Schizosaccharomyces pombe: one gene and its partners. Changing the gene in region 2 together with the main gene of any one other region gives a genetic interaction. Each region holds a gene or a part of one and is shown on either strand. Other genes may lie near its edges.

Region 1 (4,759 bases), on a different chromosome or scaffold from region 2:
ATTATTCTAGATGAGTGTACTGCCTCTGTGGATGATGCTATGGATCAGAAAATTCAAAAAACATTGCGTGAAGCATTTGGCGATGCAACTATGTTATGTATTGCCCATCGTTTGAAAACTATTGTTGATTATGACAAAGTCATGGTCTTGGATAAGGGTGTATTGGTAGAGTATGGTCCCCCAGCCGTACTTTATCATAATAATGGTCACTTTCGACGTATGTGCGATGGCAGTGGAATTACTTTTCTGCCTCCTGAAACTCGAGGTTCGAAATCAGCATGATTTTAATTTTAAATAATGTTGGCTGATGAAACTTATTTTGTAAGCTTAGATTAATTTAAAGGAAATTATTCAATTAGGTTAGATTCTTCTTCAGTTACATAATATATCATTTTACATATAAAAGATCTAAACAACCCAAGCGTTTCTTTAGCAGCTAGTAATAATTTTAGTTAATAACTTGCAAAATACCCGCTAAATTGATTATCTTTATTTTACGACTTAAGAAAAAGGTTGGTATAATCTGGCTGATAAATATCACAACGGTCGTGTTATTTGCATACTGAAAACATCATTCGAATATCAACACTACTCAACAGCATACATTACAGATTAAGTCGAATGAATAAATCAATATTTATTCAGCTACAAGATCAAATTGATAAAGAACATAGTATTCGGGAGGTACTAATCTTGGAAATTATGACAAACTAACATTACAGAAACTGACTGCAGAGGTCGATTTGTTAGACGAAAAGTTAAGAGTTTTGCAACTTCTCTTGGCAAACTGTGAACAAAGTAGAAATGAAAATTTACAAGAAAAAGAACATGGACTAACTTTGGAAGATTTAGAAAATCAGGAAGAAATTTTAGAAGCTCTTGAGATCATTAAAAGCAAAACCAGAGGATTAGCAGAATTGGCATCGAATTTTCCATACTATAAATATAACGGAGTCTGGGATCGATCAATTCAGAAAGTTGTTTATTTATATTTGCTAGCTTCCTGGACCGGTCGTTTAGATAAAAGTTTAAGACCCACGTACAGCCTTCTATCGCTTTCCGAAGTTGGTCAAATTTTGCAAGGTGCGTAAATTATTTTACATTTTTCTCACAATCTTCAGTCCCGGTTTTTCCAGAAGAGTCCACTTTTCATCTTTCAATTGAGCAATATTTGCACGCAGTACTATCTCTGTGTTCTGAACTGGTATATATTCTATTCAACAATCCAAATTGACACAATTTCTAGGCTCGTCAATCTGTAAACTCAGTAATATCTGGAAACTATCATATTCCATTTGAGGCCCTAAATACTATTCAAAAAGTTCATTCTTCTTTTCAAGTACTCTCTTTGAAAAACGACTCCTTAAGAAGACATTTCGATGGATTAAAATATGATTTGAAAAGATCTGAGGACGGTATGAAATTTACGTGGATTTTTTTTTTTTTTGATAGTTTATTTCTGACATATGCAGTTGTTTATGATCTTCGGATACATAAATTGGTTTAAATTGCTAACAATTTATTTGCCAGCTGTACGCTTGACTAAAATTGAGCCGATAAAATTGCTTTTTTAATATTAGGTCTGCTTATTTGCTATGAAACTGGCAGTCCTATGATGAATGCAATTATATTTCTCTTTCTTTAATTTTGTTACACTCTCTGGCAAACTGAATAGTTATTTAAAAAAAAAATATTTCAGCCTAGGTTTCTTTAAGTTCTGATTTTTCTTTACCCAATATTCAAGACGTTTTCCAGGGTACTAAATTAATCATTGGACTGGTATACAACATGTGTTATAAGTTAGTCGCATTTTACCAGATACATGTTAATGGCGGCATAAGTAGATACTTTTCTAACTTTTAATCAACTGCATTTAGCTTATATTTCTTGATGTCCTATGCACCTTTAAAATCTTTCAACAAATGATTACTATTTTTAAATTGAACAACCCTGATTGCGTAGAAGGCGTGCATGTTTTTTTAGCGATTAAAATCCGGGGTCTTACTAGTGTTAATCCTTAATTCTTTTAGAACAATTGATAAGGTAAAGGGAAGCAAGATTAAATTAAAGAGACCGCAAATTGAAATTACTGTGTTTTTAAGCCTAAGCAATACTTACTAGTCGTAAGTAATAAGTCAGTACCGAAATTGAGCGCATTACGAAATACAAATTAAGGATAAAAATTAACTGTTTACTAATGTTTAACGAACTAGTAATTTTCGTTAAATTCATGAAAAAATATATCAAAAAAAAGCTGGAAGTTTTCAAACATATGTTTTACGGCTGATTTTATTCAACCTTCTATTTTGTAGAACATAAAGAAAATGCCATTAATAATTGTTTCAGGTTATCCATCTTCAGGGAAAACAACGAGGTCAAATGAACTTAAAAAGGCTTTAGAAGATCGAATTCATCAAAATATCGACAATACAAAGGATTATCGGGTGATAATAATAAACGATGAGAGTTTAAACATTGAAAAAGAAACATATCGAGGTATGTTTAAATAGTTATCTTTAATGATTTAGTTTTTGGAAATTAGCCAATTCATTTTTGGCTTCAGATTGTGCCCAGCTACTCTAGATGATGGGAGAATCCGTATATGCAATTTTTCGTAATTCTGGTAACTAATTTGTCTTAGAGTCCAAGAACGAAAAGGCCGCTCGTGGCCTTCTCTATTCTGCTGTTCAGCGTGAACTTTCAAAATCTACATTCGTAATTTGCGATGCCTTGAATTACATAAAAGGATTTCGATACCAGTTATATTGTGAATCAAAGTCTATGTACACAACTCATTGTGTGATTCATGTTGCTGTTCCTCAAGATTTATGTCGAAAATTCAATAGTAACAAGGAACAGCCGTATCCTGACGATGTTCTTGAGCAATTAATGTTTCGTTATGAAGAACCGAATGGAATGACACGATGGGATTCCCCTTTATTTACTGTCTTGCACGATGATGCTTCTTGTCCTATCGATGACATCTGGTCAGTTCTTATTCATAACAAAAATGTCAAGCCTAACCAAGCTACAATGGTAAAACCTCCAGCTGAAGTCAACTATTTATATGAATTAGATAAAACTACTCAAGACGTAATCATGCTTATACTGGATAATTCCAACGATACCTCCTTGATTACTGTACCAGGGAGCAAACTTCAAATCGCATTACCCAGTGTTACAGTATCTCTTCCTTTACTTCAAAGATTGCGCCGTCAATTTATCCAAATTAACCGGCAACAATCATATAATACCAATGTTCTCAAGGAAATGTTTGTCGAATTTTTAAATGGTCAATTTGAAACCTTGGACTGATATCCTTTTCTTAAACTTTATGATATTTTTTTTTGGGATTTTTAAGGGGACGAAAAAATGTAGCCTAATATTAATACTTAACTTTGTTTGTTTCTTTTTTTTAGAACATGTTTAAAATGGTAGAAATCGTACATTTTGTTTAATTCCTTAATCCTTTTACAGTTTAAGGAATGCTGTCCTGTAAAAAAGAAATAAGAAAACGTTCACGGTCAATATCGACAATAAAAGTTTCAGTAAAACAACGAATATTGTATAAATCTAGTTATAATGTTTACTATTTAATCCATACTGTAATAAAACAATTTATTATAAGTCTCGCTCGTTTGCTTTATATAAGTAGCACATTGAACCGAGATCTAACGTTCGACACATTAAGGCCGAAAACACTTAGCAAAGACATACTCCGCCTTATATTTCATTGCTAAAAGTTGGCTCGTCTAGACGGCAATTGGCTTGAACGTGACCGATGCCAAAATGCAGGATGCCTCTGAACCTGTGATCAATATGCCTGCTCTGCCTATGAACTCCGTGAATGAGCAACATGACAGACACGAAGATCTTCCAGAAGTTGGAACAACATCAGTTACTAAAATTATTAATGATTCTGACAACGAAGATGATGAAAATGGTATGGATCTCGGTCGTGTTGCTTCTGAAAGTTTAGAAGGCGATGCTGTGGTAAGTATTGATATAAATACAGAAGATTCGTCGTTGTCGCCAGCGAAACAAGAAAACGAAAAGAGTCCCGAAGGAATCGAGCAGAAATATCAAGAAGAAGACTTGAAAGACGACAAAAAATCCAATGAAACTATCGCGACGCCTGTACCTGACGCTGCATCGAGGGCCAGTTTGGAAAAGCAAAAATCAGGTTTAACCAATTTGGAAAAATCCACTCATGTAGTGCTTATAAAGTGCATCGAGCAGCTTATACAAATAAAAGTTTGTATGAAGAACGAGAAGATGAAGAATTTAATGGAGCAACTAAAACCTCTTCTACAAACCGAATGTCAGTTTGACAAATTTTTGATAGTAGAGTTATTTCAGTACTGCTTTGAATCCAGTCAAGATGAAGTTATGAACATTTCTTTAGACACTATTTCTAAACTTGCTTCATTCGCCTATTTTTCTTCAAAAGATAAAACACCTGCCTCATTTGGGCCCCCTAAATCCCTTCTACAGTGTATGGTTGATATGGTATGCGATAGTATCAATGATGAAGTTGTTGATGGAAATCTGCAATTGAATGTTGTAAAAGCTTTATCTGCCTTTATCTTATGTTCTGAGCAGGATAGTATGCTTCATGGAGCGATATTATTGAATTCTGTTCGTAAACTCTTTAATGTCTTTCTTCTCGGGGATAGTGATACTATACAGTCAGTTGCTCAAGCTTCTTTGACTCAGGCTGTCACTGTAGTCTATGAACGATTACGCGCGAGCCACACTC
Region 2 (4,403 bases):
TTCCTACCACAAACTATCATATCGGTTACCTTTGGAAGAGCCTGCTTGACCGTTGTTAATATAAGAGTAAGCAGAACGGCTAGAATTGTTTAGCCCTCCACGAGGCCTATTTGCTTCATGAAGCTCTTTTCTATGTGCAGCAAGCCTTCTTCGTTGTTCTTCATCTGCAAGTTCTTGCATTTCTTTAGCCCGTAGCTTTTTTTGTTGATTTTGACGTTGCCTTTTGGTAAGAGGTTCAGTGGATTTCTTTTTGCCGTACGACCTGGAGCTGGTAACAGTTTGAAAGCCATCATCGATATCGTTTGAAGAAAACGAATTATGTAAAGAGTCATCTGCTGTAATAGCGGCGAGAGATATTGATGACTTCATTTTCAAAGAGGAAGGGGTAGTTGAATGTTTCTGTTCTAATTTTTGAGTATCTTCAACGTCCGTAGTATCCTCCTTTTCAGCAGGATTTTTTCCGACCAATTTCTCCTTCTTAGGAGACTTTACTTTCTTGACTTTATGATTTTCTTGGAAAATTTTAGGTGTGCCCTTCTTTGGCACTACCACGGGTTCCTTCTTTGAAGAGTCTTTCGATTTCGACTTTAGGGCATCTGAGGTTTCCAATTTTTGGGATTTTTTAGAGGGAGTTTCTCGATTAACCAAAGTATCCTTCTTAGTGTTCTTTTGTTTCTGCCTCTGTTTCTGTTTACCCAACTTAGTAAGCTTAGACTTTTGAGGTTTGGTAGCTAATTTTTTATCACTTGAGACTAAAAAATAGTACGCAACGTAAACAGTAGCTATAAGAAATGCCCATCTAAAGAAAGCCTCCTCATAACCCATTCTTTATCTCAATGTGGAATAGTGTAAGTAGAGCAACCAAATGGCAGTCCAAGCAAGCGCCATAATGTATCAGGGAATGCACAATGCTACTTAACGATCCTTGATATATAGCACTATATGTTAAAAAATGTAAACAATAAGAAAATGTGATTTCAATAACAAAAGGTAATTATATTGTTTAACATTGAACACATTTGACAAAAAAAACTAATGTACTTGATCACACTACTAATGCTATTCTAAATTCGCTAAAGACTTGTCGCCAATAAAATTAATACACCAACGTATTCGCTTAAAAAGTATAATTAAAAAAAAAAATTGTTAAAATTTATTTATCATTATAGTAACTCTGATTTTTACTTTTTTAACAAAACCACCAATAATGATTTTTGAAGCTTACTAGTACCTTAAATATTTTGTTCTATTAGGGGTGTGTTAGTAGTTTTGAGCAGAATTGAAATTCGAAATATCAATATATTTATAATTATGTAGGTGTTTTTTTACAAATATAAAAAAGAATTAAAAATAACTTATGACTTTTTAGAAAATATTCCGGTTAATTATTTTTTTGAAGATTAAACACAATCGTAAGTGCTCCAACTAACTTTTACATGGAAATAATTAAATCGACTTTCTTGAGCTAGTGCCTACAATCCTTTAACAACATGCTTTCAAAGCCCTGGTGCACTGTTTAACAGTTTCACATTTTAAGGTATGTTAAATCGTTCAATTGAGAATAGAAATTTGCCTTCAAAATTCTGTACTTAGTGAAAGAAGATGCACTTGTTTACAATAAATAAATATTTAAAAAAATAAAAAGCAATCTTCCAGTTCTCAAAGAGGAATATAAGTGTCTTTGAATTGCGTTCTTTATTATTAATAAATTGGCTTTCGTTTAAGAAATCGAAGCAGCAAATTATTACGTTAAAAGTCAGTCAAAATTTGTCGTGCATATTTGTTAAAAATTCAAAAACTCTTTTGTTCTCCTTTTGAAGAATGTTTATCAAATGTTTATTTTTCTCGTTTTCCTCTAATATTGCATCCAATTCATCAATTGAAACATATTTACGTTCATGCAACAGATTACGAATAAAAAGCAGCTGATTTTGAATTTTTGCATCAAGAAGGATAGCATTCAGTTCACATACTTCAAACGGGTTCGAGTTAGGACGTTCGTATAAAGGACTTAACATCTCTACCAGTGAATTCAAGGTACCACTTAAACATGTCAAAAGTGTTCCGTTACTTTTTTTCAATTCGTTATTTAATCCTTTTAACAATTGAAATTCATCGTTATTCACCCTACTGTTAAGGAAATTGGAATTTTCATCATTCTGTTGCAAAAATGAAGCGGTCTCAGGTAGTATGGGGGCATTTGTGTTTTGCTTAATAGGCTCTTTAACGATTAACATACTATTTAGGTTTCTTCCTTTTCGAGCTTTCACTAGTCCATAGTTACCTTTCAAAGTCTCCATTTGTTGCTCATGCTGGCGTAATGAAACAGATAATTGATTCTTTAATGCCTTCAAAGTCAATTCATTTTTAGCATTTACATCTTTCAAACCTTTATTTTGTGTAATTAATTCAGCTTGATCTCTTTCCAGTGTTCTAACTTTATTCAGTTGCAATTGACATTCGTTTTGATAAAGCTCCAACTCATTTTTGAGCCGTTTTATTGTATTGTTATCTCTTTGCTTTTCATATTCATTATTTTTAATAGCATCAAGAAGAGATTCCTTTTCTAAACGTTCTTCGTCAGTTGCTCTTAATAAACGATATATGATGTTCACTATGTTGCAATTATCACGAATGTCATGAGAAAGGCGTAACTTTTCAGCTTGTATTACTCCTTTGGAAAATAAAGATTTGTTAATATACAAAAGGCTTTCTTCTATATTGCTGGGGTTGCAAAAAACAATGGGGGTGGTCATCTTCCAATGTTTACACTTATTAATGCGGTGGTGAAGAAATAATGTAGAACATCCTTATAAAAATCATCTATTGCATAGAACTTAAAACAGATTGATTATTAACTACAAAGAATCTAATATTATTTTTAATTCATAAACATTAAAAAAAAAAAAAAGTAAGCCGGAAAGCCAAAGAGGTATAAATACCGATTTTCCCAACATTTCTAAATTGTATGCACTAATAAGCCATAACAGCTGACCAATAATCCACAGAGACAGACAAATAAGTCCCTTCTTACTTAAAAGCTTAGAGTTTGGTAAAACCAGAGGTAGAAATACTAGATACCACATAAAATACTAAGTTGTTAGTATAATCCGTCATTCTTCTAATTTCAAACTTAACATACCTGACTGGTACAAACCTTATTAAAGGTTACAAATGCAAATGTTTGGGCAAATAGAGTCCCAGGTAAATTCTTTTTTCCAAAGACCAAGGGTATTAGCATGCACAAACTTAACTGCGGCAGAAATGCAAATAAAGAAGACGCTTTTGCTCCGAAAGATGATTCATAGTATAAGTTTAAATGATGTAGAGAGAAATTATGTCGATGATCTGTTCTACCAAAGTGGTAAAGATATGTATGTTCAAGGAATGGAGACCCGTAAAGGTAATACATCAATAAATTACATATCGTAAACATAAACAAAGAACCAACAACAATCTTTAACTGATTAATCGATAATAAAGATAGAAATTTTTCCATGAAAGTGGACCCTTTTTTTGGTTTTGAAAAATATACTAAGAAAGCAATCCCATACATAAATGGGTAAATTTTAAAATGCACAGAAAACCCAAGTATTAGGCTAGCTAGCCAAACTGATTTTTTTTCGATCAAATACAACAAAGCAATGCTCAATATACCAAGAATGGCTTCACAATTCCCTCGAGTACTGATTATGGCGACGAATGGGTTCAATATCCAGAAGGAAGAGTAAATTAACGACCTTTTGTAAGATATCCTCCTAGATAAGAGCTTAATCATAAGCCACCCAGCAATTAAGTCTGATATTGAAAACAAATATTTACCCCACGACGGAAATCCGTATTGAGTAGGAAGAAGCAAAATTGCCAACATTGGAGTATAGCGATATGTGTCACGCATATACGGTGACATTCCTATGGAGACATATTTTGATGCGTCCGAAAACACGAAATAATCGATGTCCGTAAATTTAAGGGCAGATCGTCTATCATGCCAAATACCATAATTCAACAATACAAGTCTCATCAATAGACCCAATAAAAGTAAAAGAAATGCATCAGTAGGCGCATATAGGAGATATAAACTACTTTCACGTAATTTGGTAATCATATTTTCACGACTATTGTACTTTGACAGTAATTTCATAGCTTTTGCATAATGGATAAGAGCTTCACGAGCACTTGTATTGAATAGACTGCAAACTTTCACATCCAAATCAATGAGATATTTTTCATCCTGGGTTAAACGATATTGCAAGCAAGATTGAATAAAGCACTGAATTCGCAAATATTCTTTATCTGAGACACTAGTGTTTGTCCATTCAAGCAAAGAATTGGTAACTCCAGCAGCTAGTAAAGAATATGCCTTTTCATAATTTTGAAAGTTGTATGATTGAATACCTTTG
Region 3 (6,070 bases), on a different chromosome or scaffold from region 2:
ACACAATAGCTGTCCATCCCAAAGGAACCGGTTATGCTAGTGGTGGAGAAGATGGTTATGTTCGGGTGCACTTCTTCGATAAAAACTACTTTGACTTCAAGTATACATTGTAGGTTAATTTTATTCAAAAAACTGTTGATAGTATAGTAATGGACAACGGAACTTTTTTCCAAAGATGTATCATTTTCGTTTAGGGAGCATTATATGAAAAATAACCTTCTATGAGTACAAGAGTTTTTTAATAAATTCCATTCAAAATTCAAATGTTTTAAAGTGAAAAGTAATGTAATTGTCATATTCCGTAAAGCAACTAACTTATCAAACGCTTCTTTTAACGAGCTTTTGAAACATGTTTGAGGAGAACAGCCCCAGAAATTATAATTGCTCCAAACCATATGTAGTTGTCTATCTTGCTGTAGGCTGGAGTCGTTATTTCTCGATAACTAGGTGTTTTTTTTGGGAAGTATCCCAAAAGTCGGTTGATGAGATTTTCGTCGAGCATGGCAAGTTCCTCCAAAGACCACAGTTCGCAAATCTCAATCATCCATCTCATTCTTTTGCGACTGTTTTCAGGTTCGGGAACAATGTCTCGTAATTTTTGTCGTAAAAGGCCAGTTTTTTCCAATGCCATACCAGTAGCTGGATTGATTGAACTTTCGATTTTTTTTCGTATTAAACTGGCAAGTTTTGGACCTTTACCATTGGTGCTAACCATAATTTGTAGAGGGCCGTTACGGATTTCAGACCCAAAGTAGAAATCACATTCAGGTGGAATATCCGCCGCATTGACCGGGATTTTTTTGCTTTTGCATAACTTATAAATTTCGGAAGACAAGCTGGGATCATCTATGGCTGTAAGTACCATGTTTACATCGTCAGACAAATCTTCGACTAGAAATCCCCTGTCTCGCCATTCAACTTGCTTCTCCTGTATTCTCCAAGCCACTTCTTTACAAAGACCAGCTTTTGGACTTACAACGATAACATGGGCATCCGCATTCAAAACATGCAATATACGCCCAGCTGCCACAACGCCACCTCCAACAATTAATACTTTTTTACCTTGTGCACGCCAAGCAATAATTAATGATCTAAAGCTTAGATTAGCCTAAAAATTACCTTGAGATACATCAAAAAACTTTGCTAGCTTTCATTTTGTATGCTTTGCTAATTTTTCAATTCTGTGTAGATGAAAGTTAAGATACTAAAAAGCTGAAAATGATTTATAGAGCCTTGTAACTTCATAAAGATGCTTGACTTACCCACCAGGCTGCACAGACTGATATTTTGAAGCCATTATTCAAATTTTATCTTAACCAAGTGTAGGTGTTCCTGTATACTTGAGAATTATAGTATCGCCAATTACAATTCGACATTCAGTATCTGCTTCCCTATACGGGTTAATAGTTGGGAATCCTATTACGCGTATACTATTCGTTTATTTAAGACCTAAATTTTCCAGTGAATTAAAACTACCTTGTGAATAAAATCCCGAGGACGTGCAAATTTTTGAAACTATTTCATAGCACCAACTAAGCATATTCCTATACATCATAGATTAATTAATATGCTAAATTTATATATTTTTTTCATTGACAAGAAATATCCATACAAAAGTAATAGATGAAAGTGGCTCTTAGACTACTTAGTCGTATTTAAATAAGACGTTAAAATTCTTCATTAATCTCCTTACCATGTATACCAATGTGGTATAAACAAATTTGCGACGTCAAAGATTCATTTTTTGAAAACGCCCTGAACACAAATGTGTTAAAATAAGCTTCTTCCAGAAGGCCAGGTGTGTCCGAGAATTTTGGAAGATAGTAATAATTTACTTCGAACACCGAAGACAAAGAAACAGGAATCGTGGCAAGCAAAACCAAGTTGTTCATGTTGCTTAAAATTTGATAATTGATATCATTGATAAGCCCAAACATTTGGATTTCACGCGGGAAATAAGAATCATCACCATGTATTGGAAAAATTAGTGAAATATGTCGCACGTACATTGGTCGATTTAAACGCACAGAAACCTGTACAGTATCTTCGTAATTACACCAATTACTATTGATGCTTGTGTCAAGTAAAGCCGTCGGTAGATTTGCTTTTTTTCCCCAGTAATCCCTTAAAATGTCAGAAAATTTAGGCTTAGGAAATGTCCATCCGTAGTCCACGACAGCACCAACAACTTTCAAGGCAAAGTCCGGGTGATCAGCAACATTTCTCTGGGAACAAGAATGTTTTATGTATTTTTCAACTCTTTTTTCTAAGTTTGAATTGAGTTTTTGATGAACAGATTCCTCAAGGTCTTTATGATAATAAGAATATGTGGCATCAAACTGCTTCGCCAAAAGATTTTTAGCAGCATCTTTTTTTAAATATAAACCGGAGTTTATGATTGAAAAATTGGTGGTCGATCTATTGCCATAAAAAGACTGTGATGAGTTGTGTCGCTTTACAATATACATAGCTTCTTTAGAGCTTTGAGCAATGTTCCGTAATATATCTTTCAAACAAAGAATATCAAGATTGACACTTTCGTGTAAATCTTCAATGCAAAGTAAATTAAAAATAGACTCTCCATTGTTAATTCTCAGAAAGCCCCGATACGAAGGATTTCGCAATAAATTGTAATGTTCGGCAAAAGAACAAATGGCTTGAACACTCTTATTGACTAATGAAATCGGGATGTTCCCAGGGTGTTTTTCGGAAACAGGCAGATGCGACACTAGGTATATGTCTTTTTCAATAAAATCTAGGTAAGTGTTCAGTAGAGGGTTAACAGAATCATTTATATCCTGTATTTTAAGATCATAAGTACTCATTAAATTTCTATCCCAAAAATGTAATAAAACATCTTCAGGGCTAATTGGATTTTGATAAAGAAGTGTCTTTGCCTCTGTAAGGTTTGACTGTAGCTTTAGCAATGGCATTATAGAATCACGTTCATTATATGTTGAAGAGGAATTACCAAATTTGGATTTAAACAGAGATTTCGCTTGTTCCAAGTGTTTGCCAAAACTTATATTAAAATTTGAAGGAATGAACCGAAAAGGAATTCTGTCTACGAAATCCTTATAAAAAAACTTAATATTTACTCGTCCATCATTAGGTATTAGTAAAAACAACGAGAAAAGCAAAAGAAATGAGAGTAAAAAGCTAACTTTTCGACGGTTCAAAAGAAACTTTATGATGGAAAATACAGTGCTGATAAATTCTAAAGCTTGCTTACAATAGTAAACGAAGAAAAAGATCGACTTTTTAAAGAATGTGTTAGAGATATTTCTAGATATGTTTGAGTTGACATCTGACTGCAGGCCACGGCTCAAAGGCGAAGGGTCGTTCACAGACAATTCGTCGCTTGCATGATTGGGAGTAGAGTGATTCTGATGCACTAATGCATCATTCGCTATCAAAAGCTGTTCCATGTCAAAAAAATCATTAGAGGATGCCTGTCGCTTTCTAGACATCATCACAAAAGGCACTGATGATATCGAAATCCCCTCTCTTCGGAATCATTCAACACGAGTTTCGCCAAAACAGTGAGTTGTATTGAAACATAGACTTAAATTAATAGGTTTTTAGTTATTGATTAAACGAAAGAATGCTTTTACCGTTATACGCATTTATATAAAGAAATGAAGAAGTTGGTGGACTATACAAGTAAAAACGTCGAAAGAGTTTGTAACATAATTATGCAAATAGTACAAACAGACTTTGAATTATGTTTCATTTTATGAAAAGGTTAAGAGACCAAAAAAAAAAAACCAATATTGTATATTATTGCATGTTTATAAAAGTGTGTAGAAAATTTTTTTCAGACACTACTTATAATCTAATAGTCTTAAAGAGTATGGGTAAACTTATATATTGAAACAATATATATTAATTGGTAACAAAAAGTAAAATTAACAACAAGGAGCTGATGAAATTATCTTTAATTTCAAGAAAAGTTTCAAGAGGACAAAAATTCAGAAATTAAAATCAACCAAAAAACCATTGATGGGGCGATTGTACATTCTATTAGTATTCAACAATGGATTAGAGCATCAATCTAGACAAAGTAAATGGAGGATTGGTTATTATAATAAAGCACTAAGCATTGAATAAATTGGGGAATTAAACAAAATCAAAAGTAACATCTGAATGTGTGTTATGGAGAGAAATGTCTTCGGGAGCTTCACGTTCCTCATCTTCTGCAAAGCTATGCTTACGAGCACGATTGTTAGCAATACGCATTTGCTCAAGATGGACTAAATATTCTTTACTAGCGCCAGTAGTGTATTCGCCAGTAAAGAGACCAACTTCAAATTCGGTCAGCTCAGCCGTACGACAAGAATCTAATAAATCTTCTAATGTTTGATAAATGACACCATCGGCACTAATTGCTTCAGCAACCTCATCCTCAGTTTTTCCATAAGCAATGAGATCCTTACAATCAGCGAGATCAATACCGTAGACATGAGGATGAGTGATCATAGGAGCGCAACTAGCCAAATAGACATTCTTTGCACCCGACTCCCTAGCCATTTGAACGATCTCACGAGAGGTGGTACCACGAACAATACTGTCATCCACAATTAAAACATTCTTATCAAAAAACTCTTGAGGTTGAACATTTAATTTACGACGAACCGATTTACGACGAATCTGTTGACCTGGCATAATGAAGGTACGACCAATATATCGGTTTTTAATAAAAGCTTCGACGTATGGCAGTTGAGCTGTCTGTGCAAGTGCAAGGGCACTGGTTCGAGCAGAATCTGGAACAGGAATGACAGCATCAATTTTTTCCATGTAATCGGGACCAAACCGTTTCATTATAGTATGCGCTAACTTTTCACCCATATTTAAACGGGATTGGTATACGGACAATCCGTCAATAACAGAGTCGGGACGAGCGAAATAGACATACTCAAATATATCGGGAGTAAATCTTAGGCAGGGAAGGATTTGACGAGAAAACAAGCGAGGGCCTCTAAACCCTGCAAGTATATCTTCCCTATTGGAACGACGAATAAAGACACACTCACCGGGGCGAATATCTCTGAATGTACGGTATCCAAATTGAGTCAATACAACACTCTCACTAGCAAGCATGTAATCCTTTCCTTCGGGGGTATCACGTTCACCGATCACTAAAGGACGAATGCCATTGGGATCACGGAATCCCAAAACACCCAAGCCTGCGATCATAGCAACACATGCATAACCACCATTAACGCGATCGTATACATTACGCAAAGCTTCGAAAATATCATTTTCGTTTATACGAAATTTATCCAACCGTTGAAGCTCGTAAGCAAAGATGTTAAGCAAAAGCTCAGAATCAGATCCAGTGTTTACATGACGATGGGCCTCAGTGTCCAAAAAGCGTCGTAATTCGGGTCCATTAATTAAATTACCATTATGGCCCAACACAAGACCATAAGGAGAGTTAACATAAAAGGGTTGTGCTTCAGAGTGAGCACAACTTCCAGCAGTAGGATAGCGCAAATGACCAATACCCATACTACCTACGAGTTGGCGAAGTTGATGCTGACTAAAAACATCGGCAACCATGCCGGATCCCTTGCATTGGTAAAGACGACCTTTGTTTCCAGCGGTTACAATACCGGCGGCATCTTGACCCCGATGCTGCAAACTGTAAAGACCCTCATAAATTTCAGGACATGCCTGTTGATGAGGGTCAGCAAGCATTAACGCCAAAATTCCGCACATTTTCTAAAACTTGTTAGAGCTTCGGTTGTGAATTGAATACAAAAGATAATAAAATGATAGGTTTAAATGTACAAAAGAAAAAACAGCACCCAGTCAAATTGCTATAACTTGATTAAAATAATATGAGTCGGACTGTTCTATTCGGACAGCAATCAAAGTTTGAGAATACTTGGAATATAATTTCAATTTTTTTGTACCGACCGTAAAATGAGTTGTATGTTACCATCACAGAAAATAAAAAATTTTAATCAATTAAGCAGACCTCAGAAAACCTTGTAGCTACATAAGATGAAATTCAGAAGTCTAGCATCTAAATAAACGGTAATCATCATAGGCAAGTACTGCGGCG
Region 4 (6,181 bases), on a different chromosome or scaffold from region 2:
ACAACTCCTAACAAGTTTTTCTTCTCTTTTACTAAAACCTGTCCTAGCTTTAGATTCAACATGATTATGCTCGGTAATTGTAACATTGAAACTTGCATGAGTCTGAATTTTAGACTCAATGTTGTATAAAATAAAATTAAGGATTTTATCAAAATCGTTTAACAAGTTATTTAGTAGCTCAGAGCTCAAATAACCGGTAAGTTTAAATTTATAACCTTTATTTTTTTCGATCTCGATCAGCAAAGGCTGTTCAACATGGTCAGTTGAATGTATTAATGAGATGAAACTTTCGTCGACAGAAGGTATTCCTGATTGCTGATAAATTAATATACTCTCAAATAAATTGGAAACTAGTAATTCTTCTTGAAAATCCGAAATTGCCATAACGGAATGTTTCAAAACGAAACTCAATTCTTTAAACAAGTTTTGACAAAGATTTTTATACGACAATTCATCATCCAGCTTAATGCGAACAGGCAAAGTTTGCATACATGGTCCTATAACATAGTCAACGTTTGGTAATAAACTGTTAACACGCCCTGATACAACAGTGCCTACTAAAAAGTCGTTTGTTTTCAAGTATGAGGAAAGAACAGTAGACCAAGCTGTTAAAAAGAATGATAATGGAGTAGTTTGAAGTTGCTTACAAATGTTTTCAACACTGAGCAGGCTGATATTTGAGGATAATTCAACAACACCCATCTTCTCACGTTGATAAGATAAACTTTTGAATTTAAAATCCTTCAAATATTTTTTCCAAAAGCTTATGCAATTTTTGTAGTTCAGTCGCCTAAGCGATTCTAATTCCTGAACATAGTCTTCAAATTGTGGGACGATCGTAAGCCGTCTATCGTGAATCAGCATGAATAATTGCTGCATAATAATATCGATGGACCAACCATCGTATAAAGCGTGATGCCAGACAATGCTGAGATAACAGTTACTGGAGTCATAAATTACAGCAGCATCCAATGGACCACTGTTTAGAAATTGTTCATCAAATTCTTTGGTAGTAAAATGTTTTTGAATGCACTCTAGGCAATTCTTTGAATACGAATACAATGGAGGCTTCTTTTCAAGAATAAACCGAGTAAATCCCTCATTTTCGTCCAAAGCAAAGCCATTACTCAGTATAGTATGTGTATCTAGTAATTTCTCCCAGGCAAGCTTAACTTTTTCAGGTGAAGCTGCAATTTTAAAAACAGTGTGATTGAAATATAGATTTCCATTATTTGAGAACGATTCATAGAGCATTCCTTTTTGAAGTGGTGTGCATTTATTAAGAAAATTGTTCTTTGACTGAACTTCGTTGGGTTTGAGTAAAATTAAGCTCTCAGCTATTTTGAAAACCACTTTACTAGTCAAAACAATTGATGGATTTGCCTCAAAACCTAAGGACCTAATCTTACGCACGAAATAGACAATATCTAAAGAATCCAATCCCAAGTCAAAAATCGACGAAAACCGAGAAATAGATACAACAGAGTTAAATCTCTTTTCACATATTTCATGTAACACATTAGCGACTAACAGTTCAGATTGATTAAAGCTAGAGAAATCAGTAGAGTGTTTATCAGAAGCAGAAAATTGAATTTTCAATGCTTTGCGATCTGTTTTTCCACTTGCTAGTCTTGGAAACCCAGGTAAGCCAACGTATTTTGTTGGGCACATCCAACTAGCAAGGTGGGATTCAGCGTGCTTTCTCAATTTCATTTCGTCGCCGACATAAAAAGCAACCAAATTGTCGCCAATTTTTTCAATAGCCAAAGAATCGACGGAGGGTGCTAATTTTGATTCAATTTCTCCAATTTCAATACGCCTACCTCTTATTTTTATTTGCATATCACCAGCAATCCTCCCGAATATATATAATTTCCCATTTATTATACGGCCCAAATCGCCAGTTCGGTAAATTGACAGAGTTTGTTCGTTATATTGAACCTCAACAAAGGCCTTTGCATTAATCTCTGGTCGATTAATGTATCCACTAGACAACTGTGGGCCAGCAATACATACTTCTCCTAGAAATCCTTCATGCAACACATGCGGCTGAGAATCTTCAGTAGGAAGTGAAACAACGCATATTGTTGCTGATTGTAATGGCACGCCAACTAAATAAACCGTGGTTAACGCTTTGGAAGGATTAAGCGTAACATGTATAGCTGCTTCTGTCGGACCATAAGCATTTACTAAACGTTCTCCCCAAAAGTCAATGATTCTATTAGTGAGCAACTCACCGATCGTTATGAGCATTCGAACACTTGTAAATAATTCCTTATTTTCGTCAAGCGAGATAACATTAGCAACAGTGGGTGTTAGTTCCAAAGCAGCGATTTTATAATCATATATTAAATACTCCAAATTTCCGATCAAGTTCTGCCTTTTCGAAGTCACCAACGTCAGACCGTTATTCCAATTTCCAAAAATTTCAAAAACCGATACATCAAAGGTCACGTTGGCAAACTGCAACCAAGCATCACCACGTTCAAGCCCAAACATTGGATATAAATACCCGTGGGATTTGATAGAATTGGTAGCAGCTCGATGAGAGATTGCAACACCCTTGGGATTTCCAGTTGAACCAGATGTGTACAGAACATAAGCAACGGAATCAAGGCTTTCAGGAAAGGGAAAGGGGGGTATCTCATCATCGACTTTGATCTCCATTGACTCATTATACTCAGGAACCTTTAATATAATTGTGTTATTAGGAAATCGATTAACAAACTCTTCAGAGACAATAGCAAAAGACGCATCAACATCTTTACTGATAAAGTGGACCCTTTCAGTACGAGTTTCTACATCAATGGGACAATAAGCATTACCACTGTAGAGGATTGCAAGAATACCAACGAAAAGAGCAGGTGAATGAGATACCATAATAGGAACTACCTCATTCTTACATGTAACGAGTTTGGAAAGTTTTATTGCCAAAGAGTGAAGCTCGAGAAAAGAAAATGATCTAAAGGTATCCTCCAGATCATCGCCAATTTCATATATAAACTTCAAAGCATCTTGATAAGGGTGAGAAAGAGTATTATGATAAAAACACCCGTGTAAATAATTAGCAAGAGATGAAGAGTTTAAGCATAAATCGGAACAAGGAGAATTAAGGATGGAGAAGGGGAGGTCGTAATTAGTGATTTTTGAGTTAATCATGAAAAAAAGTAATCTTGCTAAATCATCATCAAACAGAGACGAATTCCATTTTAAAGTAAGGAAATTGGGAGAACAGACAAAGGCTATGTCGGCAACCACATCCATAGATCGAAAAGCGGTTATGTCTGAAAAATAAGATAAAAGTTGATTCAAACATGGTTTAGATGATTCAAACAAATCGTCAGCAAAGGATGGATCTCGACGCGAAGTGAAAACGGCAGAATGTAGTTTATGTAGGTGAAAAACTTCTAAGGGTTCTAGTTGGGAGTTTGTAGAATGATATAAGTAGCATTGGCAATTTTTAGGATTAGTATTAGGAATCACATCGTCTGAAACAGGAAAAAAAAAGAATGAAACTTCTCCACCAGTGATACCACAAAACAGCCAACTCCAAGCGTCCAAAAATGCAGAGTAAGGATGTGAAAAGGGAAGTGATAAAACGTGATAGGGGGCATCACTTGACGGCCGCATAGGACCTAATTGAGAAATTTGAGTTGAGAAAGCATCTTCTTCATTTGAATTCTTCATAAGTCTCAATCAAAAAATTTAGTGACACGGAAATATTTTATAACGAAGGTGTTGTTTCACAAATGTATCAATAGCTAAAGGATGTATTAATCCTTCATTAAAACACAGTAGCAGTAAGAACCAAGTAGAGGAATATCCTGCTAAAATATGGATGCTTGTAATATTACACCACCCTTGCTTAACGAAGTTTAGTTACGTGATTTGGCGCAGCCTTAAAGTTCGTTATAATGTGCAATCAAAAAGGCCTGTCTAAACAAGGCAATCAACAAACTGGAAGTTTTTCGGGTGACTATTTTCATCGGAGTTTGCTCTTTTAAGTGAATTTTTCAATACTTTCGAAAGATCATGAAAAGCCTCATTACTAATCTTTTCCGAAATTTAAAATGGAGAGATATCAAATGAAGTGCATGTGACCTAGATTTTCGCTTACAATATTGCCCACTTTACCACCTTATATTTATCAGATCGATAGAGATCGGATGAAGAGAGTCTAGAAGATCAACGCGGGGTGCCGGTCGGTAAACCTGAGTCCAAGTAAAGGGGACTTTTTGTAGTGGAAAACGAATGAATAGAGTTTTCCATTTTTTCTGATGTCTCATTTAATCGATGCCATTCTATTAAAAAAAATGTGTTGTAACACACTTACCACTTCCTTTTCGCTTTACTCCAGATTTGCTTCCGCATAGTTCAAAAAACTACGGACTTGCGAGATACAGAGCATGCGACCGCAGCATAGAGAAAGTGGATGAAAAGGGGAGGGAAAGAAGATGACAGAGAAATATAGACCTTGGTATGCGGTAATTTTAACGATTTTCAAATAATTTCATAACAAAGACTCGGTTTTCCGTAATACTAAATTTGGCAGTACACTTTTCACCTTCTGTTTATACCTAAGAATACAAAACGATGCTTAATTTTAGGCACTTCTTATTTTTTGTTTATTCGTATGTACGCGAGGAGAAAACATATACCTGGCGATGCTTTGTTTTAATTTCCCATAAAAAAAGAATTTCGCTCAAGAAAAACAGAATTTTCATTTCACCATCCTCTTTTTTTTAACGGTTGTTTATGCTTCGAGATTTTCTCGGATTTCACAAAATTTCCACCTTAACTGCAGTTACGTAAGGGCTTAGCGCTATGACGGAGAAAGCGCGACATATGTTATCGAAAGGGAATGGACTCCTTAAAATACATGTGCTCATATACTTCCATTATATAGGCTCATTTTCGCACGTATTGTGGGTTGGATAACAATATTTTAAAATCGACCAACAATCTTCTTGCAAACATTTGTAGTAGTGCTAGCCTAATTAATTTCAAAAAGCCGCGCATTCTAGAATATCGTGAAACTTGGTAAGTATGAAAAGGAAAAATATGTTTTTTCGGATAATGGAACCAAGTTTTCTAATATTATTGCTTGCTTAGGGAAAATCCCTAATTATCTAATTAATTCATTTCGTCCCTCTTTCTTAAAAAAAAACCTTTGGAAATAAGAAAATGACTGAACCTCTAGATTTAGCAATTATTGGATTTGGTCCCGCTAGTCTTTCTTTCCTTATTGCTTTGCATGACCATTCGGAGGAGCCCTTAAAGAACAAAAAAATCCGCGTGTTTGAAAAGTTGCCCACGTTTTCCTGGCATGAGGGTATGCTGATTCCTGGTTCAAACATGCAAATCTCATTTGTAAAGGATTTGGCAACGCCCAGGGATCCTACTTCTTACTTCACCTTTTTAAACTATCTACATTCGCATGGCCAGGAACGATTATCTGGTTTCCTTAACATGTCCACCCTAGAGCCATCTCGTTACGAATACCATGACTACTTATGCTGGGCAGCCAGCCATTTCTCCAAGTTTGTCGAGTACAACGCTAACATTAATAAACTCCATTACGATGCCGCAACTGATCTGTACATTGTGGGTCACGGTGATACTCAATGGCAAGCGAAAAACATCATTATTACTACGGGTTGTCAGCCGTATATACCACCATTGTATAAATCAGTCGACAGTCCACTTATCGTCCACTCCAGTAAGTTCATGTCAGATCATAGTCAAAAGTTGCTTCGAAATTCCAAACACGGCATTCTCGTCGTGGGATGCGGTCAATCTGCTGCTGAAATATGGAAACACTGTCATTACTCTCTCGACCCCAAGACCCCTTTGGCAATGTGCTTTCGCAATTTGGCCCCAGTTCCCAGTGACTCAAGCCCTTTTGTGAATTCGCTTTACTTTGACAGCCATAACTCCCATTGGTGGTACAACCTTCCCACTGAAGCTAGATTGAAAGGACTAAGCGTTGGCCGTACTACCAATTACAGTGTTGTCAAAGAGTCACTATTGGAGGAGATGTTTAAGGAGTGCTACTTGCAAAAACTGAGGTATGGTCAAGAATTCCATCAAATAATGGGTGATACAGACATTCAGTCGATTAAGAACGAAGGCGATCATTTAGTTGTTCAATTGACTAGTCAAATGGACAAAAGCAAAAAGC

What was found.
Region 1: mutations in msd1 (region 2) and kti12 together harm fitness more than expected from each alone (negative genetic interaction), as found in Schizosaccharomyces pombe (one large-scale study listed by BioGRID).
Region 3: mutations in msd1 (region 2) and csi2 together harm fitness more than expected from each alone (negative genetic interaction), as found in Schizosaccharomyces pombe (one large-scale study listed by BioGRID).
Region 4: mutations in msd1 (region 2) and sib1 together harm fitness less than expected from each alone (positive genetic interaction), as found in Schizosaccharomyces pombe (one large-scale study listed by BioGRID).

What each region holds. Positions count from the first base shown.
Region 1 is NC_003424.3:4,391,455-4,396,213, reverse strand, and holds kti12 (elongator complex-associated protein Kti2), read left to right. Parts: upstream 1-2,256; 5' UTR 2,257-2,324; coding exon 2,325-2,496; exon of another isoform or gene 2,497-2,641; coding exon 2,642-3,315; 3' UTR 3,316-3,401; downstream 3,402-4,759. Other genes in the region: vacuolar phytochelatin and glutathione S-conjugate ABC family transmembrane transporter Abc4, read left to right, coding at 1-282; tsn1 (translin), read left to right, coding at 622-684, 723-798, 847-1,083, 1,122-1,204, 1,247-1,415, 1,473-1,507; Sec7 domain-containing protein sec72, read left to right, coding at 3,790-4,759. UniProt on the Schizosaccharomyces pombe protein: Elongator complex-associated factor that is not a structural subunit but rather transiently contacts the complex.
Region 2 is NC_003423.3:3,048,933-3,053,335, reverse strand, and holds msd1 (microtubule-anchoring factor Msd1), read right to left. Parts: upstream 2,786-4,403; 5' UTR 2,757-2,785; coding exon 1,761-2,756; 3' UTR 1,377-1,760; downstream 1-1,376. Other genes in the region: SPOM_SPBC13E7.07 (uncharacterized protein), read right to left, coding at 4-825; gpi14 (pig-M family mannosyltransferase), read right to left, coding at 2,859-3,092, 3,143-4,403. UniProt on the Schizosaccharomyces pombe protein: Has a role in meiosis.
Region 3 is NC_003424.3:5,360,241-5,366,310, forward strand, and holds csi2 (protein Csi2), read right to left. Parts: upstream 3,660-6,070; 5' UTR 3,474-3,659; coding exon 1,668-3,473; 3' UTR 1,372-1,667; downstream 1-1,371. Other genes in the region: sum1 (translation initiation factor eIF3i), read left to right, coding at 1-113; met8 (siroheme synthase), read right to left, coding at 332-1,091, 1,263-1,297; amidophosphoribosyltransferase Ade4, read right to left, coding at 4,120-5,721.
Region 4 is NC_003424.3:865,841-872,021, forward strand, and holds the start of sib1 (ferrichrome synthetase Sib1), read right to left. Parts: upstream 3,845-6,181; 5' UTR 3,688-3,844; coding exon 1-3,687. Other genes in the region: sib2 (ornithine N5 monooxygenase), read left to right, coding at 5,185-6,181. UniProt on the Schizosaccharomyces pombe protein: Involved in intracellular and extracellular ferrichrome siderophore biosynthesis.